7 linked regions of the Mus musculus genome follow. The protein of the gene in region 3 purifies or fractionates together with the protein of the main gene of each other region. This does not show direct contact. Links are inferred from orthologs where the notes say so. Each region holds a gene or a part of one and is shown on either strand. Other genes may lie near its edges.

Region 1 (3,500 bases), on a different chromosome or scaffold from region 3:
CTCTCTTGCCCCCAAATTCTCCTAGTTCTAGCCTTTTTTTTAAAATAAATTATCTTTTTATTTTTTCACAAATAAAAATGACTAGTGACATGTAAAGAACATGACAGTAATACAATAGTAACAGTAATGGACGAGCTATCTCATAGAGACAGAAGTCCACTAAAATAGTATACTGATTTTAAGAAAGACTGTTAAATCTTGGAATAGTATATTTTAACTAAATCAACAAATCAAGGTTGAGCACATGTCAAAACATCATCTAGAACCCATAAAGTGATATTAAAAGAAAAGAAAAATCTGGAATTCCGCACACAGGGCTCTTGATTGAAATCAGGGAGGCTCAAATCTGTTTATCTTATTAAACACTTATGGGTACAGCTAGGTTTTTCTAAATGTTTCATTAGTAATGCTGAGTCTTGTAAGCCTGGTTCCATAATAGTCTATAATGTAACTACTTCCATCTGAAGGTCCAACAATCTGCATTGAAATAAGAATGAAATCAATTAGGCTCCCAATTCCGCAAAATCCTACGGTGCAAAAATTTAACAAGCGTAAGGCAGGATATCCGAGGTAAAATCGATCTGCTCCCAGCCATCCCAAAAAGAGAGATAATGCAACTGCCACTTTGTACGAATAGCCATTCACATTTCGGCAAGTTATGGGCTTGAGAAAACCGACTTCACTTCCAGTAAAATGTGTTTCATTACCACTCAAATCCTTTATAAGTTATTTTGGGTGCTGGAAAACATTGAACATGAGCTGTGTAGTTTGTACAATTAACTGGTTCTTGCGTAGCATCATTTATTTTTGGTTCTTTTTACAAATATATTGTCCCACCCTGAGGTCCTCACACCTCTCCTCGCCCCCGACAGCGCCAGAGGCAGCAGCCCCACAGTGTCCCTCGGTGACCATCACGAGCCACAGAGTGCGGAGAAGGCCCGGAGGCCCGGCTGCTGGGGAAGCCCGGCCCGCGGGCCAGGCAGCCGCCATGTTGGGCACTGCGTCCTCCCAGCCTTTTTATTGTAGGGAACTAGATCATGTTTAACGTAAGATTCAGGATGCTCCATAAAGTGCTTGCTCCGTGTGTCCGGGCCTCTTTGTGCTTCCCCAGGTCCCTGTGAACCTGTCACCTAGGGATATGGGTTGTTAGTGGTTTAGGTCAGGTCTGAGAGAGAAAGAAGATGCTTTTCCTAAAGGAGCATCAGGTTCTCATTGGCAGCAAATCAAGGATTAAGCATTGGGAAGGTCGGAGAAGCCACCCAGTAGGAAGGGACGGGGTAGGCTGTGGGTGTGCTCTGCCAGCTCTGCCAGCCCAGGTGGAATGGTATTAGGGAGGTAATGTCTGTGCTGAGTCACTGGTACAGCTGGCCAAACGACAGATACCCAGGTGCACCACAGTGTCCACACTGATAGTCAGGAGCTGGCCCTGCACTGATGAGAAGCAGGTCTGTGTCTCTGGCCCTCCCTGATGGTGCTTCCATGTTTCTGGACACTGGGCATGCCCCATTTATCTCTCTATTCCTAGTTTTCTGCACCATGCATGATGTGGGGTGAGGGTCAGAGGACAGTGGGCCCAGGCCCATGGGGCTCACTTTTCTCAGCCCACCAATGCTCTCATCATCACAGGTACCCCTCTATGACCAGTGGGAAGACGTCATGAAGGGGATGAAGGTGGAAGTGCTCAACAGCGATGCTGTGCTCCCCAGCCGGGTGTACTGGATCGCCACTGTCATCCAGGCAGCTGGTGGGTGCTGTTCTGGCCACGGCAGGGTCTGAAATTTGTTTGCCATGTGTCGTATCTAGTAGGTGGTTAGTGTTAGAGGGTGAAATGGGTTTCATAAATCAAAATGTCACCCATGAGCTTTCTCTCCCCTTCTTAGGGATGTTCCTCCTTTAGATGAGAACACAGGGCTAAATCTTGAAAGTTAGTTTTGTTTTGTTACGTATTTTAAATGTTTAGTTGGTGGTTTTGGTTTTTTTGAGACAGGGTTTCTCTGTGTAGCCCTTGCTGTCCTGAAACTCACTGTCTAGAATAGGCTGGCCTCAAACTCAGAGATCTGCCTGCCTATGCCTCCTGAGTGCTAGGATTAAAGGTGTGCACCACCACCACCTAGATTTTTTTTTTATAAGGTTTATTCTGGGGATGATGAGGGCATAGGAGCAATCGCCAGCTCAGGATGCTTTCTAAGAGTGCAGCGTGGATATTGTTTTGTTCTGTATGTCGGGGACCCCACTAGCCTGGAAGGAGTTCCTGGATAGGAAGTAGGAAGTCTGGCTGGTGCTAGAGAAGGAAGAAAGTCTGAGAACCTGCCTTCCCGATGTCACAGGTCCCATGCCTTCCCCACATCACAAGTCCCTTGTCCTTTCAGGGTACCGGGTGCTGCTCCGATATGAAGGCTTTGAAAATGACGCCAGTCATGACTTCTGGTGCAACTTGGGAACTGTGGATGTCCACCCCATTGGGTGGTGTGCCATCAACAGCAAGATCCTGGTACCTCCACGGAGTGAGTTCAGGAGAAAGCTCCCATCCTGGCTCCTGTAGGGCTCTGGGCAGAAGCCTTCCCTACCCAGTCTAGAAGTCCCTGGACAGTTTGCATTTATAGAGCCTGTTTGTTGGTATTGTGTGCCTGAGTAGTGAATGTCTGTTCACTGTGTGTGCTAGAAGGTCAGAAGAGTGTTAGATCCTCTGGAACTGGGGTTAGAGATGTTGTGAATCACCATGTGGGTGCTGGGAACAGAACCCTTGTCCTCTGGGAGAGCAGCCAGTGCATCTAACCAGGGAGTTGTCTCTCTGGCTCCCAGAGGCTGGTTTTATAAGATGATGTCATCACTGGCCTGAAGTTGCAGAACTTAATAGTTATGTCTGTGTAGCTGATCTCTGGGTTGGTGAAGGTGTGATCAGTCTGTGTCAACAGTCTCTGCCGGTGTCTCTGCAGCCATCCATGCCAAGTTTACTGACTGGAAGAGCTACCTCATGAAGCGGTTGGTGGGTTCCAGGACACTTCCTGCAGACTTCCATATCAAGGTCTGGCTGGGTTCCCAGCTCATTCCCTCCCTCCCTCCCTCCTCCCACTTCCATCGGTCAGTTTTTCCATCCTTCATATGATTCAGGCATTTGTTTTGTTTTTATGATTCTGGGGGTGGGACCTAGGGATTTCCATACACTAGCACTATGTGTACAGCCCCTCGTTCCCCATCAAAATACTCTTCTGAGACGTCTTGGGCAGCCTTCAGCCCAGTGCTGCTGCAGTTGCTGGCCACCTGCCTCCCTGCCAAGACCCTGGTACAGCATATCAACTATGTTGCTTTGTTGGCCTTTGGGATTTAACATCCCAGATTCTTGCCCTTGCATTTTCAATGTATCTGAGGTTCCCATTGCTGTGATAAAACCCTAACCACAAAGCAACCATGAGAGGAAACGGCTAATTCTGCTTATACTTCCACATCCAAGAGATCAGGGCAGGAGTTCAGGAAGGAACCCAGAGGCCTGAACTGAAGTC
Region 2 (4,199 bases), on a different chromosome or scaffold from region 3:
AGCCTCTTTTATCTTGGAAAATTAACGCAACCTCTAATATATAACTTTTACACTCAACTAAGTCAGACTCTCTATTCTGCAAAAATAAAGTAATACTAAGCACCCAAGCAAACCCCACATAAAACAATCTTTTAAATGCTTTTCCAAATTTCTAGTAACTCAGTGCCTTGTGCAAGTGCTCCATCTCTGAGCTGTATACTCCCACCCGTTCTGCTATAATTCATTTTGACTTTCTTTTCTCAGAAGCTTGAAGCCTATTTCCCTCTTAATTACCCCAATTAATATCATATTCCCAATGATAAAAAGGAGAGCATCCTCCAGTTTGGTTATTAACTCTTGTTTGGTAAGTAACACATCAATACAGTAGTCTCCCTTTTGCTGGAGTTTTGCTTTCCTGTTTCAATTACCCACAGACGATATAGTTCAAAATATTAAGGACTTCCTAAACAGTTAACTCCTCAAGTTTTTAGTTGCCATCTCACTCTGAGTATCATGATGAAAATTTGCTCCATCCTGCTCTGGCCCAGCTGGATACATTTTCTAAACAACCTTATAGTATCCCAGGAGCCACACAGTCAGATCAACTGTTAAGTACGCAGTGCCTGAACTGGGTCCCCTTCAGTTAGTTAAGCCTGATGCGGAGGCTACAACGCCTCCATCAGCACACCCAAATAAGGCAGAAGAAGGCAGGGCTCCGAGAAGGGATGGATTTCATCTCTCCTTTCTTCAGGGGCAGCTTTCCTGATGACGGTTCACCGACTTGGCATGCTAAAGTCGCCCCTCGATCAGAGGGATGTCAAGCTAACTCTGGTTGTGGGGTACCCGCCAGATCGGCGAGGTGGGAAGCAGAGCTTCAAGGACCAGCGAGATGGCTGTTTGGGTCTAGCAGGCGAGGTGTGTATCCCCGACAGGCTGGAGTAAGGAGACTCGGGGAGGTGGTGTCCAGGGCACAAGCAACCTCGTCTGCCTTACGTAGGCTCACGAGCGTCCGTTTTATAACAAGCCACTGCAGAGCCCCGTGAGGCCAGGAGGACGCCGCTGCAATTAAAACCGGATCAGACCCTGGTTTCGTCACGTTTGAATTATGTAAGCTAGAGCAGGGCACCGAACCTCTCCCGAGCCTCTGGGTCGCTTCCCCAGAAGGAAGGATGACAGTCCCCGCCGCGCCGGGCGCACGCGTGTCTGCGGGCGCCTGCCATCGCGCCCTTCGGGGCGTGCGAGCCACGGCCGGAGCGCTCCGGGGCAGCCAGCGGGCGGGCGAGCTGGAGGGAGGCGGCGCCGCGAACTCGCCGCCGGTGCTGGGCCGCGCTCCCCGCGTTTGAAGTCTCCGGCGCGGCCGCTGGTTGGCCGGCGCGGGTCACGTGCGCGCAGGCAGGAGTTTCCCCGACAGCTGGAGGCTGCGTGGGATCCGGCGGCGGCGGCGGCAGCGGCGGCGGCGACGGCGGCGGCGGCGGCTGCAGCTCGCGGCGCGGCCTTCCCCGCCCCCTCGCCTCCGCGCTTCCGCCGGCCCCTCACCCCGGCGCTGACAGACCGGCGCGCGTCGGCAGCGAGCATGGGCGACAAGAAGAGCCCCACCAGGTAGGGCGCCCGCCGGCGGAGCGCCCGCGGCCCGGGGTCCCGTGGCGTGGCGTGGAGCGGCGCGGCGCGGGGCGCGCGCGTGTGTGTGGGGAGAGGGGGTGCGGCGCGGCGCGGCGGGGCGCGCGGCTGCCCACAATGGGCCGCGATGGCGGCCGGGGTCAGCGGCCGCGCTCCCCTCCCCCGCGCGGCGCCGGGCGGGGCGGGGGTCGCGGGCCGGGCGGGGCGGGGCGCGGGGCCGGGCGCGGCCTGCGGCTGACCCCGCGCTGCGTCGTGTCCGGTTGTGTCCTGCAGGCCGAAGCGGCAGCCGAAGCCCGCCTCGGATGAGGGCTACTGGGACTGCAGTGTCTGCACCTTCCGGAACAGCGCCGAGGCCTTCAAGTGCATGATGTGCGATGTGCGGAAGGGCACCTCCACCCGGTGAGTCCGGCGCGCCCGTGGATCCCCCGCGGGGCCCCCCGCGCGACGCGGGACGGCGGGGCGGCCAGCCAGGCGGCGGCCGCGGTGGGGCGCGACCCGGCTGAGCCGCGGCTGGCGGCGAGGGCTCGGTGGCGGCGGCGGTGGCGCCTGCTGCGGAGGATGAATTATCCATGGGGGTCGCCGGCCGCTGCCGTGCCGTGCCGTTCCATGCGTGGCCGGTGCGGTGCCCCCTCCCCAGCCGGGCGCAGAGACCGTGATCGCTGGTCGCATTGTGGTGTTAGTGTGCGGGGAGGGGGCGGGGACGGGGAGCCGGGGCGGGGGAGGGGACGGAGGAAAGGCCGCGATGTCACTCGGTCCCCCTGGGGAAAAAGTATCGCTTGTAGGATCGTAATGGATTAAACTTTCTTAGTAACGGATGTCCGGAAAGGGTCAGGCCAAGGTTTCGCGTCTGGGTTTTTTTTTGTTGTTGTTCTATTTCTGTAATAATTTTTTACAGTTAAGTAGTTGGTTGGGAGGTGAACCCAGCAACGCAGTTTTACTCCAGTGCCTGGATATTTTTACACAAACGAGATGACATGATCTTTGTCTGTTGCCGGCCCTGGATTTGTTGTATGGTAGGCATATAGTATTATAATTGTCTTTCCAAAAAAAAAAAAAAAAACCATTTAAAAGAGTTAAATTTAGGAAATTCGAACTCAGTAGCATTCTTGATCTGTCTCCACTTGGTCATAGTTCCCTTGGGAAGGCCGCCTTTAAATCCACTTCTACAGTGATTTGTAGCAATATTTAAGTAAGGCATTTATTTTGCTGCTATGAAGCCTATTCAAATACAAATGATTACAGAATACGGGGAATTTTCTGTTTGAAACAGAGGGCCTGTATAATTTTGACATTCTAAATAGTCAAAGTTATTTCTAAAAATGATGTATCCTGTTTTTTTTTTAAAAACTCAGTTTATAGAATTTTACTAACATTGTAAGTGTAGAGACATGTCAGGATTTTATTGTTTCTACAATACTGGTTGTTTTTGACATACCTGTCATAAATCTCAATAGGTTTTTACTACGAATTCTCATTTACATTGAATACAATATTTTTAGTATTTCTTGGTGTCTATTAAAAAGCAAGGTTTTAAATCCCTTTTAAGTTCAAGGAAAGATTCTAAAAAGAGAAACTACTTGCTATTTCTGGACTCACGTTTTAAGTGTTTTGGAAAGCACGGTGTATATGTCTATATAAGGATGGAAACGGCTTAGTGTATAATATATGTGTATTTGTAAATGAGCAATATGGAGATCATTTGACTTGGGTTTTTTTTTTTTTTTTTTTTTTTTTTGCTTTTGTTTTTACTTGTATCCTCTCATACTTTTAGACGAACACTGGATTAGAAGAGCCTATTTGTTTATTTGCAGGGACAGCAAGGATGGGGGCAAGCTGGTGTGTCCTACTCCACAGCCAGTCTTGGGGTTAGAGGAGCCCCGAGAAGTAGAGTAGGTGGTGACACTCAGAAGAGAAGCACCAGGCTGAGTCCCTGACTCCTGGAAGAAGGAGGATTGTAGCACACAGGGGAGCTGGCCCACAACAGAAGTGGGCCTGCTTTAGAGAGGCCTGAGACCCACCTGCAGGCCCCTGGCTTTTTGTTTTTGTTTTTGTTTTTGTTTTTAACCAGTAGATCCAATTTTTAGTGGTGGAAACATTACTTGAGGAGGACTCAGAGAAGCATTGTCATTTGGATTGAAACTGAAGAGGCTCTGGGCCCCTCACCAGAAGTCTAAGGGACACCGTGTTCCTAAAAGTAGGTGCTCAGAACGGTGTCCCTCTGAGCTTCTTCCTCTCTCTCTCTCTGAATTGTCTCCTTTGACTTTACCCCTAAGTGAATGGCAGGAGTTGTAACTTCTCTGTTGTCTGTTACATTTCCCTTTGCTCCCCCCCTCCCCCCCCCCCCCCCCGCCCCGAGATCTGTGTTTGGATGGATCAGTAGAACATGGTCTTGTTAATAAGTAGATGCTGGTTACATGCACAGTGTTTGGATGGATCAGTAGAACATGGCCTTGTTAATAAGTAGATGCTGGTTACATGCACAGTGTTTCCTCTTAGGAGTGACAGGAAACCAGGTGAAGGACTGGGACACAGATGGAAGGCAAGAGTTGAGTGGTCGGGGGACATTGTTCCCCCAGTTGATGTGCCTGTTGGCAGATAGGATG
Region 3 (4,161 bases):
AGGGCAGGAAAGAAGCTACTTAAGAAAGGGAGGTGGCAGTTTACTGGGGCAATTTTACAGAGACAGGTTTTTGAGAGAACAAGCTAGTAACTTCGATCAGTAAGAACTCTCCACATTACAAATTTAGAAACTAAGGCACAGAACGACTTTTAGAAACTGGCTTAAGACCTTACAATTTGAAAAGATACCTATGGCTCCAGGTCACTTACTTCTCTTTTCTTTTCTCTTTCTAATTTAGTTTCTGTGCATAGAAGTTTTGCCTACATGTATGACTGTCTAACATGTTAACATGTCCGTGCCTGGTGCCTGTGGAGACCAGAAAAAGAGCATTAAATCCCCCTGGGCCTGGAGGTAACATATGGTTGTGAGCCACCCTGTGGGTGATGGGAATTGAACTCAGGTCCTCTGGAAGTTCTCCTAAACTTAGCCAGTGCTCCTCTCCCAGCCCGTTAAACTGTTTTATCTTTCTCCTCCATTGGATTCTGATATCCAGTCTATTATATTCAAAACAGTATCTTCTTGAGCCAGCCCAATACCTGATATAATAATAAGTAATCAAAAACTGATACAGAGCCGGGCAGTGGTGGTACACGCCTTTAATCCCACTTGGGAGGCAGAGGCAGGCGGATTTCTGAGTTCGGCTACACAGAGAAACCCTGTCTCGGAAAACCAAACCAAAAATAAAATAAAATAAAACTGATATAGAGGGTAAAGTTTGTGGTTTTGGGACAAATTCTACTCTCACTACGAACTTTAGCTGACTTCGAATTCAAACACGTGATCTCCCTGCCTGGGCCTCTGTGGAGCTTGGCTTTGAAGCTTGCACCTTCTGGTCCCTCCAAGATGGCTTGTTTCATGAGCATGTGCTAAGCACCTTTAGATGACTGATGGGAGCCCCACCATCATCGCCCCGGGGCACTCAGAACCTGCAGTCCGCTGGTTGGGACTAGAGAGCGCCTGCTCCGATCCCCCGGAATCCCTGCTCCACCTCTTTTCTTCCCCCAACCCATCCCACCACACACACCCCCACCCCCCGCCGCCGCCATCCTCTCCAAGGATCCATCCTCCGGAACACCCGGGCGTCGGCAGCGGGCGAGGACCGGTGTGCGCGGGAGATCTAACGGACGGCGCTGCGCATGTGCAAACGCGGGTGCACTGCGCATGCGGAAAGATGGCCGGCCAGGGAACCTGAGCGCCTCCGCGGTCACCCTGGTCCCCTCCGAGCCTACCCTGACCCCCTCTGCGCCTGGGCTCATCGCTGCGCGAGTGGGACCGCGGCGCTTCGTGGGTGGAGCCGCAGTGCTCCGTGGGTGGAGCGGGCGGCGCTGAAGGGGCCGGGAACGCGCGCGCCGAGCCTCCGGGGAAGGCGGGAGGGCGCGTGGGGCGCGAGGGGCGCGGGACAGCATGAGTCAGCAGCGGACGGCGCGGAGACAGCCCAGCCTGCTGGTGGACCCGGCGCAGGAAACGGTGCGCCGGCGTTGCCGAGACCCCATCAACGTGGAAAACCTACTGGTGAGCGGGGACCCGGGCCACGGGAGGTCAAGTGCTGTGGGACGCGCTCCTTGCATCGGGCCCTCTGCACAGTGTCGCTTGCTGCCCCGGGGCTCTCCCTGCAACTCCCAATTCTTGAACCGCCCTTTGCTTTTTAAATGTTTCTATTGGATTTTTCTTACTTTGTGTTGGGGTGGGGGCCGCGAGCGCGTGGATTCCACGGGGCACGTGTAGAGTTTAGAAGGCAACTTGGGGCAGTCTGTTCCATGCTTCCAGCCTTGTGGTTCGCGGGATGGAACTCTGGTAGAGTTTGTAAAGCTCGGTGGCAAGTGCCTTAACCAACTGGGCGATCTTGCCTGTCCATCTTTGCTGTCTGACAGGGGAAATGAAAGAGTGAGAAAGTTCCCTCCGTTCCGTGCTTCCCACCTTTCTCAGGGTCCCTGCTGGATTCTTCCTTTGTCCGTTTCTCCTGATCGCTGTTTTCTCAGCAAGGCAAGCTGTATCCAAGCCATTCTGGCGGGTCCTGTGCCATGAGCATTGTCTTGTCTGACTCCTTGGAGCAACCTTGAGATAGTTATTTTTAGAGTTTGTCAGAACTGACCCAGAGATGTGTGTACAGAGATGTCTGGCCTTGGGGCTAGGTAATGAGGAAACTGGGAAGACCCTCAGAATGACTGCAAGTGACAGCCTTTCCCAAACTTCTCTCTCTCTCTCCCTCTCTCTCTCTCTCTCTCTCTCTCTTTAAGTAATTTCTGCTCAGTTTCCACCTGATCTTGCATTACCACCCAGCACTGTGCTGGGGACTCTAGTCCTAAGCACTTGGTAAGATTGTTGTAAATAAGATCCGTAGGTCACTGATGGTTTTGTCAATTACAGTATTCGTTTCACACCCTATCTTGTGTCATAACTAACCACTCACTTTTGGCTGAGAACTCTTTGTTGTGTTTTTGACAGCCATGGTGGGTCCCCTTGTCCCCTTCGCCTTCCTTTTCAGACACGTGGGTGTCATCCAGGATTCTCTACAGTTTGTTCATGTAGGTGACCGCTCACTACTGCTAACTTGTGGCCTGTGATCATGGTAGGTTTTTTTTTTTTTTTAAGGATTTGATAGACGCTCTAAATGAAAACCGCTTAACTTTTGGTTATCAGAAGATAACGTCTTCTAAAGTCTTAGATTTCTTATCCAGTCTGGTATTTTTAGTTGCCTCGAGGTAACTCCCAAACCTGTACATCTTTCCTGGAGCTCTCCAACTGTTTGTTAGATGTCCCTTCTTAAAAAAGAAAATGTCTTCGTGGATGCCACGTGTGTACTGGTGCCCACGGAGGCCCGAAACCAGTGTTAGATCACCTGGAGCTCATAATAAGTGGTTATGAATTGGCACATGGATGAACTGAGCCCTCTGGAAGAACAGCGAGCGTTTATAACTGCTGAGCTGCAGATTTCAAACTCTGATATCCAAAGCCAGATTCACAGACACACCCCACCCCACCCCCGCCTTAAGAAAGCAACCTCTTTCTCGAATCCCACCTTAATGGTGCTCTGCCTATCGTGGTGCCTGAGCCAGCACTCTGGACATGGCTGTTACCTTTTCCTCTGTTTCAGAATCACCCCCAGACACCCCCCCTCCCACCCCCAGGTCACTGAAGTCATTCACATCAGCTATTCTGTGCTATAATGCCATCTCGACCAGTTTCCTGCCACTGTTGCTGCCTCTCACTCACCGCCTGTGTGCTTCATCCTTAACGTATGGTCTCTTGAAGGTGTGTTTCTATCTTCATTTGGCCAAAGGAATTAGTGGTTCCTTAGTGCTCCCAGGACAAAGTCGAGTCCTCGCAGCATAATCTGGCTCCATGTTTGCCTTTCCTAAATGATCTTTCTGAGGTTGCATGCTCCATCCTAGGCCTCATTTCCATATTGACGTTTGTCAAGATGTCTGAAGTCCAGATTCATGGGTAACTTGTCTTAAGACAAGTGTCTTTAGCTCCTCTTTACCTCAAGACTGTTAGCCAGACTCTGTGTGTCCCAGAGCAATTCTATACTTGACTGCTCAGTCCTCTGCGGGTCTGTTTGATACTGTAGTGAAGATCTGGCCATGGACAAAGGATTAAGCAAGAAGTTAATAAAGTAGGGACTCTATTTTCTTGCCTGTAAAATAGTGACTTAACATGTCAGTAGTATTTTTTTAATTGACTAGCAAATGCAAAGAATTAATAAGCCATGTGCAGAGCAGTTACATAGCTTGCTAAGTGTTGTTGCCAGGATAAGTTAAATGGCTTAAACCTGCTCTTGGCTTTGGGGAGCAGGGAGAAGACAATCCTGGATGGAGGTGAACTTGGTTTGCACATTAGATGATCAGGAAGATCTGGGTGGTGACATGAATGCAGTCACCTTAGAGAGATTCGTGTTCAATGAGCTCTTGAAGGAGTCTTGCTCCCACACAGGGAGCTAATACAGAGAAACCTATGCATAGAGAGCAGTAACTACTTAGGAGGCAGTGCCTAGGACATTAGTCTCTAAAAGTCACTTTTTATTTTTCTCTCCACCTTTAAAGCTTCTAGCCAGGTGTGGTGGCCCAGTTCTGTAATGCCAGTCCTTGGGAGGCAGAGACAGAAGGATGGTGAGTGAAAGGCCTAACTAGGCTATATAGCAAGTCCCAGGCTAACCTGGAT
Region 4 (4,217 bases), about 60 Mb from region 3:
TACAGAGTGAGTTCCAGGACAGCCAGGGCTACACAGAGAAACCCTGTCTCGAAAAACCAACCAACCAACCAAACAAACAAACAAAAAACCCTCTTACCATCTTTGTCTCCCTTACAGCCCTTGACTTCTATTACGAGTCAGTGTCTGCTTATGACTGTGTTCTCATCACTAGGCTTGGCCACACGGACATTTAAGGCCAGCCTGGGCTAGGTGTCAGAAAGATTGTATTACACCACCAAGTTTCTGCACTCAATAGTCAGGGGTTAAATGATTTTTTACTCAAAAAACATTAACTCATAAATCAAACTCAAGACCGCACTCATTTTGAAGATCAATTGTAAAGTGGTAGTCTGGTTAATTTCTCAGATGACCTTATTATTACTGTTTGTTTGTTTGTTTGTTTGTTTGTTGTTTCATTGAGGACCTGGTGCACACTGAAAATGGTGACAGGGTAGTCCGGTTTTTGCTTTCAAAGCTGTGAAGTCTTTGAGGGGACACATCATGCCATTCCTGGGCTGCCACATATTAGATACTTAGCTAAATGCGGGTGGGGACAATGTAGTTACACTTCATACCTCGTTGCATTATGTATGACCTTAACTGGACAGGGAGCTGCACAACTTTCCCGTTTTGATTCTTTTTGCAGTTAATTAAAGTTCTCTATAAACTGGGGCACTCCCTAATCTGCTCCGGCTACAACAAACAGAAGGTAGGTTTTACTTGCACCTACGAGAGGTTTTGTAAACACTCAAGCCCAGCAAGGACAGTTCTCTCGGACAAATGAAAGCAAGATTCTTGAGATGAAGGACACCCGGCGAAATCGGTCCTTTAGTTTGTCCCGTAATGTCTCTTAACACCTTAAACCCAGATAACAGAGGGCCCGCGTGGGCATCTCGACCGCGCCCCCTGGTCAGCCACAGCGTGATTCCTTCCCGGGAGGGTTACGCCCCAGGGCGCAAGTGGAGCGACTCAAGCATTAAACGAGACAATGTAAAAGCAGTCTAGCCAAGAAGAGACAGTGTTATTTTGGCAGCCAGTTTCTCTCCCCCCGCCCCCAAACCCCCGAGCCTCCACCCAATCCCTTGGGCCGGGCGCCCAGAGCTCGGAATTGTGGCCGGCTCCAGGAGCCCAGCTCCCTCCACGTGTCCTGTCTTCCCAGCAGCCTCTCCGCCGCCTGGGGAGGAAAATCTCCTGACAACTCGCGGTCTGTGGACTACATCTCCCGGGAGGCACCGCGCCACTTCTCGCTGCCAACACCCGGGGCGCAGGCGCCCTGAGCTCTGTCAACAAGCGAGTCTGGCGAAGCCTGTGTGCGGTTCCTGATGGGATTTGTAGTTTCTCTGGCTCTCTCTCACTCGCCCATCCGACGCTCGAGGACTACAAGTCTCAGCTACCCCGGCGCGGTGAGCCCGGTCACGTGTTAGGGGGCCGATCGGGCGTGCGTGCCGCCGTTGATCCGGTGCTGCAGTGAGGTGGTTGTCGCCCGTGTTGTGTGTGCGTGAGTGTGTGTGAGTGAGTGAGCGAGTGAGTGAGTGTGTGCGTGGGGGCACTCGGCTTGTTGTTGTCGGTGACTTCCCCCTTCCCTCCACCCCTCCCCTCCCCGGCCGCCGCTGCAGTGGCCGCTCCCTGGGCCGTAGGAAATGAGCGATAACGATGACATCGAGGTGGAGAGCGACGTGAGTCCTGGGGCTTCTTCCTTTCCGTTCGGGTTGTCAGGCGGGGACAGCGGCAAGGGTTCTCAGCCGGGCGACGGCGGGAGGGGGTCGGGTCGCCGCCGCCTCCGTCCTTTTCTCCCCCTCCCCCCGGGGCCGGGACCGCCTGCGTCGCGCTCCAGGCTCGCTCCCCTCCAGTCCTGTCCGGAGAGGCCTCCTGGGACTGAAGGTGGGAGCAGACACGCGGCCTCTGGGACCCCCACATTCTCCCGTGGAGGAGGGTGTCGAGGCCTCCCTCTCCGCTCTGCCCGGCTGGGGATCCCATTATCCTTCCGGATCCTGGGCAAGGAGACCAGCGCTCAGCTCTTGCTCTTTGGGTCCATGAGCTCCCTCCTCCTGTGACCGGTTGATCCTTGGGGTGAAGGGGCTGGGAGTGCTCTGACGCCCTAGAGGGATCGAGGGAGAGCAGGCAGTGTTCCGGATCCCTCTTGTCCGGTTCGGATCCCAGAAGGAGGGGCAGTGCCTGAAACCCCCCCCCCCCCCCCCCCCAACTAGGCTACGGGATCTCGCTGGAGAGAGTGGAAGGGGAAAGAGGGAGGGAGGGGTGTCAGACTGACTCCCCACCCGCTGCTTCCTCCGCCGCCGGCATTTTCTTTCTTATTATTGAATTCGAAGTGTGAAAATAACTTCTGTATTTTCTATTTTTCTCTCTCTCTTATTCCAGGAAGAGCAACCGAGGTTTCAATCTGCGGTACGTCTCCTACTCTCCATTTCATTTTCATTTCCGTTCAGTTTTGGTTCTTTTTGGAGTCAGAAAAAGAGATCGTTCTATTACTTTTAATACTCTTGTAAACTCCTCTTAACCGCTAAGGTGAGGTTGAGTCTGTTGGGGTTGGAGGAGGGGGGCGTTGCAAATCCACATGATTCTTGATATTCAGGTGGTAGATTCTAGTGAGTAGGTAGGTAGGTAGGCAGGCAAGTGAGGAGGCCTGTGCTGTGAACTGAGTTGTTCTGTAGTGTTCAGTGCGGCGGAGATATGTGAGAAATGGAAGGGCATTCTGAAGTGAATGGTAGTGTTATTTCAGAGCAAACTGGCTAGGTTTTATTTAGGAGCAGGTAAACTTTAAGCAGTATCTCCATAGTTGTGTGAAGTTGCAGGCACATGTAATAATCGCCTTTAGCCAAGGTCATGTGACTACTGCAGACTCCTAGGATCTAGAAAAGCATGATATTCCCCAAAAAACGACAATGGAAAAAAGAGAGGCGCTAGAAGTTAAATATTGAAAGTGGCACAGCTTTTTGTGGTCTTGACTTTCCATTTGAGAAGAAAAAAAATGTTGAAGAGTGGCACTGTTAGAGACAGCTTTGCTGAAAGGTGATGGATGCATCCATATAATGTTATCAGTAACTTATTAGATTTTTTTATATTAATGGGGTTTTTTTGTAGGTGTTTCTGGCTTTGGGTTGACCCCATGCTTTCTTGTCTGGAGTCTGAGACTTAGGAGTAAATAGGCATAGATTAGAGAGAGAGAGGAGAGAAGGAATAGACTCAGAATACAACCAGAGGAGAGAGAGAGAGATGGAATATTTGATGGTTGGAAATGGTAGGGAAAGAGAATGGAGTGAGGTCCTCATTACCCGTGAGGACCAGGTAACAGCTAGTCAAGGGTGGAAGGAAGAGGTGAGGATGTACACCCCTTCTAAAAAGTCCGTAGCCACCTGCCCCTGCTGCTTGCTACCTGAGAGTGATCGGTGCTGCCCGGTGCTGCCAGATCTTTTTGTTTCCTTCAGGGCTGAGCCCTATCCCTGGAACCTCAAAGTTTATGAGAAATGTTAAAATACTTGAAACACAGATTATTACTTTTTTGGGTGTGTTTATGTGCATTTAACTTTTGACTGTGCTAGGATTCGAACCCAGGGCCCTCGCATGCTGTGCAACCCCTCTGCCATGGAGCTTCAACCTCAGCCTATTTAATTGATTTTTTTAATTACATTTACTTAACGTGTGTGTGTGTGTGTGTGTGTGTGTGTGTGTGTGTGTATGTATGTATGTGTGTATGTATGTATGTATGTGTGTGTGAGTGTTGTGTGGTCACGTGTATGTGATGGCTCACATGTGAAGGTCATAAGAACCACTTGGATTCAGTTCTCTCTCTCAAACACATGGGTCTGGGGATTGAATTTAGGGTCATCAGGTTTGACCTCAGTGCCTTTACCCACTGAGCTATCTCTCTACCTTCTAGTTACCTGATTTTTAAACGATATATGACACAGCTGTTTAGGAACTTGTAGAGTTTGCAGGATGCAACTAGGCTTGGTGGTTCTGGTCGGTAAACCCAGTTACTGGGGAGGCTGAGGTAGGAGGATCAAACGTTCGAGCAATTTACTGAGACCCTGCCTTAACATACACAACACAGAGTCCAGGCTTGTGGCCCAGTATGTAAGCCCAGGGCTTCTGAGGCTTTGGCAGGAGTCTTCCCTGAATTTTAAGCCAGCCTGGGATATAGAATGAGTTCCAGCCTGGGCTACAGCATGAGATTCTGCCTCACACGAACAAGAACTCTC
Region 5 (3,500 bases), on a different chromosome or scaffold from region 3:
GCAGGACATTTTCTTAAATTAGAGACTGATGGGAGGGCCAGCAGAATGAGCTGGTGGTCCTGAGTTCTATAAGAAACAGGCTGAGGAAGCCATGAAAAGCAAGCCAGTAAGCAGCAGTCACTTTTTTCTGAGACAAGGTTTCTCTGCGTAGCCCAGGCTATCCTAGAAGTCATACTGTGTAGATCAGGCCTACCCCTGTCTTCTGAGTGCCAGCACTCACTCACTCACTTCTGCACTCACTCACTCACTTCTCCACAGCCTTTCTATCAGTCTTGCTTCCAAGTTTCAGCCCTGCTTGAGTTCCTGCCCTGACTTCCTTCAGTGATGGGCTACAATATGGAAATGTAGGAAAAAAAACCCTTTCTTCCTTAACTTGTTTTTGGTCATGGTGTTTCATCATAGCAACAATAACACAAGCTTAGGACACTCCAAGTTGCTTTTGGCCACTGTGTTTTATCAGAATAATAGAAACCCTAGGATCTCACCTCACTCACTTAAAATTCTCATGACTCCCTATTTTCCAAACTGTCAGCCCATTTTGAAAAAGCCCATTCAAGGAAGGACACCCCTCTTGAAAAATCCCTGTCATCTACCTCCCAGCCCACAGAGTGCCCCACCTACCACCCACCACCCACCACAGCTCACAGGCCTCTGGTCACTGGGATGCTACACGTGAGCAAATCAAGTCGGCTCATCCAGAGGAACTTCTGAGGACAGGCCAGGAAGACTACTTACGGCTGAGACTGGGTCCGAATGGGCAGGCAAAGTCTTGAGGCACTTCCCTGTCTTCACGTCCCATATCCTCACACTTTCATCAAACTAAAGGTGAGACAGGACATTAAAGTGATTCTACAGGAACAGGAGCAGCAACAGTGTGATCTCAGACCCAGAACCTGTCCCCACATAAAAGCCAAACTGCCTACCCCAACCAAGCACAATATGACACTGTACACATCACCCTTGGAGGAGAAACCACGCACTTACAGACCCTGAGACGATGAGGTTGGACTGGGGGTTGAAGTTGCAGCAGAAGACGTAGTTACTGTGGCCCTTCAGGGTCTTCAGACACTTCCCCTAGAGCACACATAGCATACCAAGGTCTGTGACTTCCAGGGGCTGAATCTCCAAATACAAGCTTCTTGTACATTTGAAGACCTACCCAAGACCAACCATCTACACAGCCAACTCATCTCAACTATGGGCACTCCCTGGAAGACCAGTGTCACTTACGGAACTCACGTCCCAAATCTTCAAAGTTTTATCATCAGAGGCAGACACAAGGAGGTTAGAATCTGATGACCACGCTACATCAGATATTCCCTTGGGAAGGGAAAAAAAAAACAGTTGGTTTTGAGGGACAAAAATCCAAATGACCAGTAAAAGATCAACCCTACTAACCTATACACCATGCTGTCAGGAAATCCAGCCAGTGTTAGCACCACAAAACACCTGGCCCAGAGGAAAAGGCCAGTACTTTCAGCTCTACCAAACTTCTTAGACTCACTCCCCTGTGGAGGCTCAAAGTGCTTGTGCTTGCACTAAAAATATAAGCAAGCCAGGTATGGTAGAGCAAGCCCGATTCTTAGGCAGGAGGATTGCAGTTCCAGACCAAATTGGACTACTTGGTAAGGCCCTGCACCCACTACACTTAAAAACAGTCCTGACAAGCCCAAGTGGTGGTGGTGCACACCTTTTAATCCCTGCACTAGACAGTTGGATGCAAAGGCAGCCAGATCTCCATTTGGATCTCCAAGTTGAAGGCCAGCCTGAGTACAGCAAGGGCACCCAGCCACCCTGCTCAACACCTAGTGCACCTAATGGGAAACTTACCAGTTTGTGACCAGATATAGTTTTCTCAAACTTTCCATCATATGCTCCCCAAATTTTAATGAGTTTATCAGCAGCTGAAAGGAATGAAAGGGAGCTGAAGTCAGAGAAGGCTGTGGCTGTACAGTCACCCAAAGGAAGGAGGCCTGAGTCACTCAATGAACTAAGTATGGACACACAGAAGTACACCCTTCACTGCAGAGGGGCAATAGCATGTGAACAGGCAATTACTTCAGTTCCATACAAACATGCTGAATGCTAACCAACCCAGAGACCAGTAACAACTAACACAGTCCAGCCTCCTCATCCTCCTTCCTCCAACAAAGTTCAGACGCCTCTCCAAAGGACTGAAGGATACTCACATGAACTTGCCAACCATTCCCCATTGGGGCTGAACTTCACAGAGGACACAGCTTTGGTGTGGCCAGCCAGGGTGAACTTCAGGGCATAGTTTGGCTTAACTGGTGTGGGCTGGAGGAAACAGTACAGATTAGCCAGAGGCAACTACCACCACCCAATCAACCCACTTGATTCCCAAAGTGTAATCAAGCACTAGCTGGTTCCAAACTCATACACAAGAACTTACTATAACCTTATCTGATGTCCCCCTTTAAACTGCCAGTGTGAGCCTAGCACCTCTCTTGAAAGCCCCGACTTTCCCTGAAGTACCTTAGCACACCAAGAATTTGTAATTTTTTTTGGTATGGTGGTGCATGTCTTTAATCCCAGGAAGGGAGAGGGAGGCAGAGGCAGTTGAGTCTCTATGAGTTCAATACTAGCCTAGTCTACATGTCGAGTTCCTCACCAGCCAGGGACTATAGGGGAAACCCTGCCTCAAAACAAACTGTACTTTTTGATAAATACCCTCACCTCCATCTTAGGTCTGGGACTCCCTGGTGTGGCACCTGACTGCTCTGTGTGACCACTGTTGTGTGCTCAGAAATACTGGCAGCATACCTCACTGGGCAGAGAAGCCTAGATTAATAAAATAATGTCCCTGAGAATCTCTCCAGCCTGTGGGACATACCTTGCTCTGTGTGGCTGATGAGGAAGGAGTGGGCTGTGCTCTTGCAGCCTCTGTCTCTGGCTTCTTCTCCTCTGTGGCCATGGCTCTGAAGCCCACAGGGCAGGACACCGTGAAGGGGGAGTCACAATGGAAGAGGCTGTCAGCTGAACTCTATAGTAAGGGGCCTATAAACAAATCCTCTCTTTAACAAAGGTTGTTGGAGAAATAGTTCAGTAGCTAAGCTCGCCAAATGCAGTTCCAGAAGACCTAAGTTTGATTCCCACTTGTGAGCTTACAACTATCTGTGAGTCCAGCTCAGAGGATCTGGCATCCTCTTCTGGCCTCTGTAGGGACTGCATGCACATGGCACACAGACTTACATGCAGAGAGGGAAAACAAAAGTTAAATAAAATTTGCCCTGATGTGGTGGCGCACGCCTTTAATCCCAGCACTTGGGAGGCAGAGGCAGGCAGACTTCTGAGTTCCAGGCCAGCCTGATCTACATAGTGAGTTCCAGGACAGTCAGAGCTACACAGAGAAACACTGTCTCGAAAAAAAAAAACAAAAACAAAATAAATAAATAAACAAACAAACAAACAATGATTCTGGGGCTGGAGAGATGGCTCAGTGGATAAGAGCACTGACTGTTCTACCAGAGGTCCTGAGT
Region 6 (4,288 bases), on a different chromosome or scaffold from region 3:
CTTCCAAAAGAAAGGAAAATCGCTAAACACGTCTACGCAGTGGTGAAAAAAGAAAACCAAACTAGTAAACCTAAAGCGTTGAAAGCAAAATCGTGGCGAGGAAGGAGACGGGAAAATGGCGGCCGCCAAATCCGGTTCCCGGGAGAGGGGGGAGGGGAAGCTTCGCAGACTCGCTCCGGGAAGCCGGGGGGGCCCCAGAAACGTTCCGCCGCGAACACAACCGAGCCCCTAGGCCCGCGCACATCGAAAGGCCAGCGATGGCCCGCTCACGCGCTACTTTAGCGGTCCAGCCCGGTCGCGGCGGGCACTTCCCATCCCCCACCCCAACTGAGGGAAATGGCGCCGGGCGGCTGAGGGCGGGGAAGGCGGTCGGACAATCAGAGGCCTCCTCCAACGACCCCTCAGAAACTCGCCAAGGCCAACCGCCACTCGAGTGGCCGCATCCCCTCCGCCGGACCACGGAGGCGGGTGGCCGGTTTCCATTGCGGTGCCTACGGCCTCGCCATGCCATTTTTAATAACTCATTGATTTCAAACCCGTTACCTCCATCGCGGACTCAGTCGCTTCAGCCCGATTTCCCGCAGCCGAGCGAGATGAGAAAGACCTCCGCGGACGGACGCGCACGGGACTCGTCCTGGCGCTGTGGGGAGAGCAGGCGATGGCCAAGAAACTGGGCCGCAAAGGAGCTCCTGCACACGGGACCGGCGCCGCTGCTACTGCCGCTGGAGCCGAGACCGCCGCTTTTCTAGAACCTTCCCCCCACTAACGCGTCTCCGCTTACGTCACGCCGTTACGTAAACGCCCTAACCGCCGCCAATGGCGGGAAGGGCCTACACTCTCCTTACGCCAAGTACGTGACACTCCCCCTTTAGGTACAGCGGGACTGCTTTACATCACTTGCGCAACTGTGTTCCGTGAATTGCGGAAGGCTCGCGCTCGGCGTGTTACTACGTCCGGAACTAGGTCCGGCCCCCACCTCCGCGTAGGGAGCGGAGAAACGGTCGCGCAGTTTGAAATAACGCCGTCGGGAGGGGCTTAGGCCGGCGCTGGGGCGTGCGGCCCTCTCCACCCAAGCGTGCTCTCTGCAGCTACGCCTTTGCCAAGCCCGTCCGCACAAATATTCTCGAACCACACAAATATTTCTACACGTCCCAAAGGGGTTCTCACTCGGTCCCTCCCAGAAGGACTTTTAGTCCAAGTACCACCCCGGATGCCACAAGCCTTGGGATCCCGCGCCTAGTGAGAGGTGGTGCTTAAAGAACCCCGCTGTTTATCTCCCCGGCCTTCAAGATCCGGGCAAGGAGGTGGGTGGAGCCCCGCTTTGGCGCGCTCCGAGACGCAGAGAGGCCTCCGCGGTCCTTCCTGCCCGCCTTCCCCCCCCTCCCCCCAGCCAGGAGACCCCCTGGGCGCCACGCCGCGGACGGTGAGCATTGCGCGCGCCGCCCCCCGCAGGACGCGTTCCCGGCGGGCCCCGCGCGGCCAGGGCGTGGGCGGTGCTCCCCCTCCCCCCCGGCGGAGCTGCCCGCGCCCCCTCCCCTCGGATGTGGCTGAACCGAAGCGCGCAGGCGGGAGACTCTGCAGGATCCGCGGCCCTGAGCATCGGAGCGGTGAAGTTCGTGCCTTTGCTTTTTTTCGATCTTGCGTGTGGTGGGGTTTAGGATGCTCCGTGCGTCCGAGCTTGCGGGGAGGCTGCGAGCCCCGTGGGCCGCGGGCTGCGGGAAACCGGCTGGGGCCTCGCTGAGGCGGGCGCCGCGCCGGTGCGTGGGGGAGATGGGACAATTGTGCATGAGGGTGGGAGCCGGATGACAGCTACCGAGACTCCAGACAAAGCGCGGGCCTCCCCTCCCCCAGCCTCGTCGCAGGCCCGCAGGGAGAGAGCGGTTCAGGCTCTGCAGCTGCGAGGCCCGAGGCTCCGGGCTGCGGCGCGCTCCCGGCTACGTGGCCGCCGCCGGATGGGGGAGGCGCGGGCCCGTGGCGCAGTGCCCTTGAGCCCCCGCCGCCGCCTTTGTTTCTCCCCGCGGAGGCGCTGACCACGAGGCCCGCGCTCTCGGGTGGGGGACGGGCTCCCGACCGGGGAATGGAGCTGGGAAGGAGCCCTCCTCGGAGGGGAGCGTGAAGGAGGTCGACTCCTTCTATCCTTATCAGGACAGTACTTGGGAGCTTGAGGCTGGGGATTGCCAGGCGTTGAAGCCCAGACTGGACTATAGAGAGTGATTACCGCACCACCACCCCCGGAAAAAAAAAGCCAGAAAATAGGACTGGGACATCTTAATGTGTTCCTTTTTTTATACCGTGATTGAACAGGGAGGGCCTCTGAAAAAATAAGGATGGAATTATATGAGCTCCTTGGAGTATTCAGAAATCTAAAGAAAAAGATCTTATGGTAATTTGCTAACAAAAGATAGTCATTTCCTTTCATCCAAAATAAACACTAAAATTGTTAAAATTCTATATGGATTGGGAAAGTAACAATCCTCACCATGTAAAGTTGTCTGAGGTACCAGTGTTTTAGTAAGATTATTTTCACTAACATACTGAAATTATTAGTAACATACTAATAACACGGGAACTCAACTGTTTTCCTGCATTTTTACCCGAAATTTACATGTTGAAATCCACACAAAACTTGTAGCTGCCTTTTGTGTGTCATGAAATTTTAACTGTCCTACATTTTTTTTCTTGCAATAGCTCTTCAAGTCTCCGATTAAATTTAAAAAATGGCCTCCAATAAAACTACATTGGTAAGTTTGTGAAAACCTAGAACATAAGAATCTTAACTGAAGGATTTTTTTTTTTCTTTAAAATTACAATTAAGAAACCATGTGGTGGTGGATCTCTGAGTTCGAGACCAGCCTGGTCTGCAGTGTGAATTCCAGAATAGTCAGAGCTACACAGAAAAACCCTCTCTGGGCGTGTGGGTGGGGGAGCTAGAACCTGTGGTGGACATGGTTGTGCCTTCCTTTAATCCCATCATAAGTGGGTGAATTGCTGTTAGAAGCCAGCCTACCTAAGTCCTTGTATTTACCAGCATTCTAAAGAAAAAGGAATTAACACTAAGTAAGGCTTTTCTTAAGGAGGATCACAATACATTTTTTTGAAAAAGCGTTGTACAGTTTTTGCTGGATGCTTTTGAGGTAAAAAATGCATGTTTGTGGGTTATAAAACAGCTCAATCTTCAGAGCCCAAGGAAAAGTGGAAAGAAAAAACAAGTTTCTACCAGAGTGTGCCTTGATTTCCACACAGGAGCTCCATCATATTGTTAATGAGCTGAATGGGGGAAGAGTCGTGGACAGCTCTATAAAAGTCTTGTGGGTTGGCATGATTACCCTGGAAGCTGTGCTGTTCTGGAGACACTGAGCATTCATTAGTGCACAGAGAGTGAGTTAGATAGAGCTCACGTTGCCATGAGCAAGAATTACAAACTGTCTAGGAGTGATCTAAGACTGTTAGATCAATTCTGTTTCTTTTCAGCGATTTCTGACTGTTGCTAAATCCAGTGTTAGTTTTCTTGGGATTTCTAGTAAGTTAGACAAATTTATTTTTGTCAAGTTATATTTAAAATAAATAAAACTGGGTCAGCCAGGCAGTGGTAGCCCACAACTTTAATCCCAGTACTCCAAGACAGAGGCTGGTAGATAGATCTACACAGCGAGTCCACGGACACCCAGGGCTACACAGAGAAACCAAAAACGGAGGGAGGAAAAAAAAATGGGTCTGAAGGTGTATGTTTGTGATCCAGCCTGTGAGAAGCTGAAGCAAGCAGATTGCCTTGAGTTTGAGGCTAGCCTGGATTCCAAAATTCTGGGTAGTCGGGGCTGCATCCAAGACCCTGTCTAGAAAAAGATTCATGTCAAAAGAGTGAAATTTACAGTTGTGGTTTCTACATTAATTAGGACACATTGATCTCAATCATATGGAGGTGTGCATTAACAAAACATGGGTTTTTATCCTTGAATTTCTGACCAAAATGAGCAAGAGGGTATTTCTATCTCATATAGTGCATGACTTCAACTGGTCTGCAAAGTGGACTAGATTCTGTGATCAGAAGCCCTGATGGTCACTCTTAGATGACCCAATACAGTGATAAGCATGAATCATCTGGTAAACTGTGGAGATGCTGTGAGTGTGGGTATGGCCCTGGATGCTGATGGACTGAGTATCCTGGTTCTGAGGTGCTGCTGGTGATTTTTTTTTTCCTGCGTGATCCTTCACTTGGTGATGGTTAGAGGGACTAGGCATTTGATAGGGGGTTATTTTTGTGATTCCTTTAAAAAATTTTTAAGTAGCA
Region 7 (3,500 bases), on a different chromosome or scaffold from region 3:
GCCTTTAGTTTTGTTGTTGTTGTTGTTATTATTATGACAGTCTCACTATGTTGTTGTCCTGGAACTCCCTCTATAGACCTTGCTCTCCTTGAATTCAGAGACATCTGTCTGCTGCTTCTGTCAAATGCTGGGGTTAAGGGTGTAGGATACAACATTTGGCTTAGCATATGTGTTTAATCCTAGTACTCAGGAGACAGAAGCCTGTTCAAGGTCAGCCTGATCTACATAGTGAATGCCAGAGTAGCCAAGCTACATGGTGAGACTCTGACTCAGACAAACCAAAAAAAGGTAGAAAATCATAAACGTGCCTAGCCCTGGTCCCTGGACTTCACATGTATATCCATGGGGGTTGGCATAGCCACACAGTTGTACATGCCTACATTGTACATGTGACACAGATAAATTTAAAAAAAATGGGGTTAACAAGCTGGCTTAGTGAGTAAACAGGCTTTGTGCATAAACTTTGTGACTTGAGTTTAATCCCCAGAAACAGTGCATAATCTTGTCTTCTGACTGTTTTCTGTGTTATGGCACATGCACCCTTGTATATCATGCACATACAATAATTAAAAATAAAAGTCTATACTGAATTGTAGAACTGAAGATCATGAGATGTTGGCAGTATATGCTTTCCTGTAATGTGTGTGTGTGTGGGGGGGGGTGTACATGTATGGGTGTTTGTTTCTTCTATGCATGATCATATATACATGTGTACCGGTGTTTATAGGTAAAAGTTCATGTCACGTGTCCCTCTCCCCATAATCTATGGAAGCAGGATCTCTTCTTAAAGTGAGCTAATTTATCTAGCCAGCTGGCCCCAGGAATCCCCATCTCTGTCCCCAAAGTACTTAGAGATCCTAGATCTTGCCTGCCCAACTTTTATGTAAGTTCTTGGGATCCATACTCTGTTGGTTTTTTTTTTGTTTGTTTGTTTTTGTTTGTTTGTTTGTTTGTTTTGAGACAGGGTTTCTCTGTGTAGCCCTGGCTGTCTTGGAACTGGAACTCACTCTGTAGATCAGTCTGGCCTCGAACTCAATAATTAGCCTGCCTCTGCCTCCCACGTGCTGGGATTAAAGGCGTCACCACCACTGCCCGGCCACACTCTGGACTTAAATGTTTGAACGTCAGTGCTTTACCCACTGAGTCAACTCCCTGTACTGTATTTTCTAGTCATTATAAAGATTCAAGCATGTATGATTCTCTTATTTTTATTGTTTACTTAGGACATTTTGTGTAAAATAGTAGTAATTATTTTGCATTTTGCGGACCATATATGCTATCAGAGAGTTATTACTAGGATGTTCTATTCTAGGCAGTATGAGCTTGCTTGTGCTTCAGGAAAATCGTATGAGACATTGTTTGACCTATGTACCTTAGACTCATCAGTCCCTACAGAAGAACATTATATGTGGTTTCTATTGAGTGAAGAGAATATTTGGTGTTTTTGCTCTTAATAAGACTCCTTTGCTAATGCATTAGAGTGGCAGCTTCTTTACGCAGAGCCCTCATTATATGTGTTTGACTTTTGAATTCTGTGTTAGTCTTGTGTTATTAGTACTAGTAATCAGAAGGTAGATGAGTATGTGACTCTTAAGTTGGTGGTAGTATTGGGATGATTTAGTAAAATTTTAATGTTCTCCTTTAACTTTAGGCATCTCTCAAAACTAAACCTATCCACACAATCATAAGGAAACGAGCTCCTCCATGCAACAATGACTTCTGTCGCCTGGGTTGTGTGTGCTCTAGTCTAGCTTTGGAAAAGCGCCAACCTGCTCACTGCCGTCGACCAGACTGCATGTTTGGTTGCACTTGTTTGAAAAGAAAAGTTGTGTTGGTTAAAGGGGGATCTAAAACAAAGCATTTCCATAAGAAGGCTGCTAATCGAGATCCATTATTTTATGATACGCTGGGAGAGGAAGGAAGGGAAGGAGGAGGAGTCAGAGAAGATGAGGAACAATTGAAGGAGAAAAAGAAGAGAAAGAAGCTCGAATACAGTGAGTATTAGTTGACTTAAAACTTGTCATCTTATTTTTTTTATAAGTGTATATTTTTGATATGTGTATATACTCATTTCTGTGAATGTATGTAGAGGGGTCAGTGGTTGAAGTCATGTATTTTCCTCACTTGCTTTCCACTTGTTTAAAATAAGTTTTCAACATTACACTTACTTATTTTGTATGTGTGTAAATGTGGAAAACAGAGAACAACTTGAAGGAGTCATTTCTCTCCCTTTACCTTGTGGGTCCTGGGCCTGGAACTTGTGTTGTCAGATTTGATGGCAGGTTCCTGATGTGCTGAGTCATCTCACTGGCCCTCTGAAGTTTTGGAGAGTTTTCACTGAAGCTGGAGCTCACTGATGTGGCTAGATTGGTTGGCCAACAAATCTCCAGGGGGTGTGTGTGTGTGTACATGATGTGGGTGGGGGCTGTTTATCCTCTTTCTCAGCACTGAGGACTAAACTCAAGACCCTATGTTTGCTAACTAAAGCCCTCTACAATTGAACTAACTCTTTAATCCCCTCTAAATTGTTTTTTAATTTTTTAAACATGTATGTTTGTGTGTGCCCAAATGTTTGTATCATCTGCATGTAGGAGCTCTCAGGTCATAAGAGACATTGGATCCTCTTGAATTGGAGTTACAAATGGTTGGACCATCATGTGGGTGCTGGGAACTGAACCCTGGTTTGGTTTATTTATGGAGACATGGTTTCTTACTCAGTTTAGCAACTGGCCCCAGGGATTCCCCATCTCAACCTTTCAAGAACTGATACCGGTGGCTGTCTTTCCTACCCAGCTTTTATGTAGGTTCTAAGGACTCAAACTCTGGTCTTAAATGCTTGAATGGCAGCACTTCATCCACTGAGTCAACTCTCTATCCCTCTGTTGTGTATTCACTATACATCTCTCTAAACATGCTGGCTCCCAGTAACCTCAGCATTTAGGAAGCTGAGGAAGGATAGCTGAGTTCAAGGCTAGGCTAGTTAATAAAGATACTCTGTCTCAGTTGTCTCCCCACTGGAAGAAAAGCATAAAGTGTCATTTAATAAAAAGTAAATTTACCCAACAAGGTAGAAAAACATCTCTGCATACTAGCTACATTGATAGACTGGAAAATAGTATCTTTGAAGTAGAAATTACAAATTACTAATAAGAATATGTTTTAAAATGTATTAGATTTATTTTAAAAAGACCAACCATGTTTCAGAACTTGGGTGATGTTCATGAGTAGATGATGTATGCCACAGTCAGTGAAAGCCAAGAAGACTAAGAAGGCAAAGATCTTGGTACAAGGAAATTCAGTAACCAAATCAGTAAACATTGTGGTAAAAATTTGAGCAATTAGTAAAAGTAAAGAGAGTCCATATGAACAATTGGAATAAATGTAGTGAAGTACAATTACATTTCCTCTTTAAAGGGTTATTTATATACATTCTGTAAGCACTAATCACAAGCATGTTTTTGATGATGAGTTGATAGGCTTTGTGGTTTTTAGAATATAGT

Evidence for each region.
Region 1: the proteins of E2f6 (region 3) and L3mbtl2 purify together in Homo sapiens (affinity purification with mass spectrometry; 5 studies listed by BioGRID and IntAct, counting the BioPlex papers as one, with this or other methods). This does not show direct contact. The link is inferred for Mus musculus from reciprocal best matches to the Homo sapiens genes E2F6 and L3MBTL2.
Region 2: the proteins of E2f6 (region 3) and Yaf2 purify together in Homo sapiens (affinity purification with mass spectrometry; 4 studies listed by BioGRID and IntAct, counting the BioPlex papers as one, with this or other methods). This does not show direct contact. The link is inferred for Mus musculus from reciprocal best matches to the Homo sapiens genes E2F6 and YAF2.
Region 4: the proteins of E2f6 (region 3) and Max purify together in Homo sapiens (affinity purification with mass spectrometry; 5 studies listed by BioGRID and IntAct, with this or other methods). This does not show direct contact. The link is inferred for Mus musculus from reciprocal best matches to the Homo sapiens genes E2F6 and MAX.
Region 5: the proteins of E2f6 (region 3) and Wdr5 purify together in Homo sapiens (affinity purification with mass spectrometry; 4 studies listed by BioGRID and IntAct, counting the BioPlex papers as one, with this or other methods). This does not show direct contact. The link is inferred for Mus musculus from reciprocal best matches to the Homo sapiens genes E2F6 and WDR5.
Region 6: the proteins of E2f6 (region 3) and Cbx3 purify together in Homo sapiens (affinity purification with mass spectrometry; 4 studies listed by BioGRID and IntAct, with this or other methods). This does not show direct contact. The link is inferred for Mus musculus from reciprocal best matches to the Homo sapiens genes E2F6 and CBX3.
Region 7: the proteins of E2f6 (region 3) and Mga purify together in Homo sapiens (affinity purification with mass spectrometry; 3 studies listed by BioGRID and IntAct, counting the BioPlex papers as one, with this or other methods). This does not show direct contact. The link is inferred for Mus musculus from reciprocal best matches to the Homo sapiens genes E2F6 and MGA.

Annotation. Positions count from the first base shown.
Region 1 is NC_000081.6:81,673,889-81,677,388, forward strand, and holds part of L3mbtl2 (lethal(3)malignant brain tumor-like protein 2), read left to right. Parts: intron 1-43; exon of another isoform or gene 44-1,008; intron 1,009-1,626; coding exon 1,627-1,744; intron 1,745-2,369; coding exon 2,370-2,504; intron 2,505-2,936; coding exon 2,937-3,025; intron 3,026-3,500. UniProt on the Homo sapiens protein: Putative Polycomb group (PcG) protein. PcG proteins maintain the transcriptionally repressive state of genes, probably via a modification of chromatin, rendering it heritably changed in its expressibility.
Region 2 is NC_000081.6:93,334,136-93,338,334, reverse strand, and holds the start of Yaf2 (YY1-associated factor 2), read left to right. Parts: upstream 1-1,399; 5' UTR 1,400-1,552; coding exon 1,553-1,578; intron 1,579-1,869; coding exon 1,870-1,995; intron 1,996-4,199. UniProt on the Homo sapiens protein: Binds to MYC and inhibits MYC-mediated transactivation. Also binds to MYCN and enhances MYCN-dependent transcriptional activation. Increases calpain 2-mediated proteolysis of YY1 in vitro.
Region 3 is NC_000078.6:16,809,804-16,813,964, forward strand, and holds the start of E2f6 (transcription factor E2F6), read left to right. Parts: upstream 1-1,404; coding exon 1,405-1,512; intron 1,513-2,445; exon of another isoform or gene 2,446-2,569; intron 2,570-4,043; coding exon of another isoform or gene 4,044-4,109; intron 4,110-4,128; exon of another isoform or gene 4,129-4,161. UniProt on the Homo sapiens protein: Inhibitor of E2F-dependent transcription. Binds DNA cooperatively with DP proteins through the E2 recognition site, 5'-TTTC[CG]CGC-3'. Has a preference for the 5'-TTTCCCGC-3' E2F recognition site.
Region 4 is NC_000078.6:76,959,449-76,963,665, reverse strand, and holds the start of Max (protein max), read left to right. Parts: upstream 1-1,417; 5' UTR 1,418-1,640; coding exon 1,641-1,676; intron 1,677-1,686; exon of another isoform or gene 1,687-1,881; intron 1,882-2,376; coding exon of another isoform or gene 2,377-2,403; intron 2,404-4,217. UniProt on the Homo sapiens protein: Transcription regulator. Forms a sequence-specific DNA-binding protein complex with MYC or MAD which recognizes the core sequence 5'-CAC[GA]TG-3'. The MYC:MAX complex is a transcriptional activator, whereas the MAD:MAX complex is a repressor.
Region 5 is NC_000068.7:27,518,147-27,521,646, reverse strand, and holds part of Wdr5 (WD repeat-containing protein 5), read right to left. Parts: intron 3,019-3,500; 5' UTR 2,936-3,018; coding exon 2,855-2,935; intron 2,299-2,854; coding exon 2,190-2,298; intron 1,905-2,189; coding exon 1,831-1,904; intron 1,321-1,830; coding exon 1,231-1,320; intron 1,075-1,230; coding exon 985-1,074; intron 820-984; coding exon 736-819; intron 1-735.
Region 6 is NC_000072.6:51,469,128-51,473,415, forward strand, and holds the start of Cbx3 (chromobox protein homolog 3), read left to right. Parts: upstream 1-1,488; 5' UTR 1,489-1,612; intron 1,613-2,124; exon of another isoform or gene 2,125-2,383; intron 2,384-2,688; 5' UTR 2,689-2,717; coding exon 2,718-2,741; intron 2,742-4,288. Other genes in the region: Hnrnpa2b1 (heterogeneous nuclear ribonucleoproteins A2/B1), read right to left, coding at 544-549.
Region 7 is NC_000068.7:119,924,728-119,928,227, forward strand, and holds part of Mga (MAX gene-associated protein), read left to right. Parts: intron 1-1,651; coding exon 1,652-1,994; intron 1,995-3,500. UniProt on the Homo sapiens protein: Functions as a dual-specificity transcription factor, regulating the expression of both MAX-network and T-box family target genes. Functions as a repressor or an activator.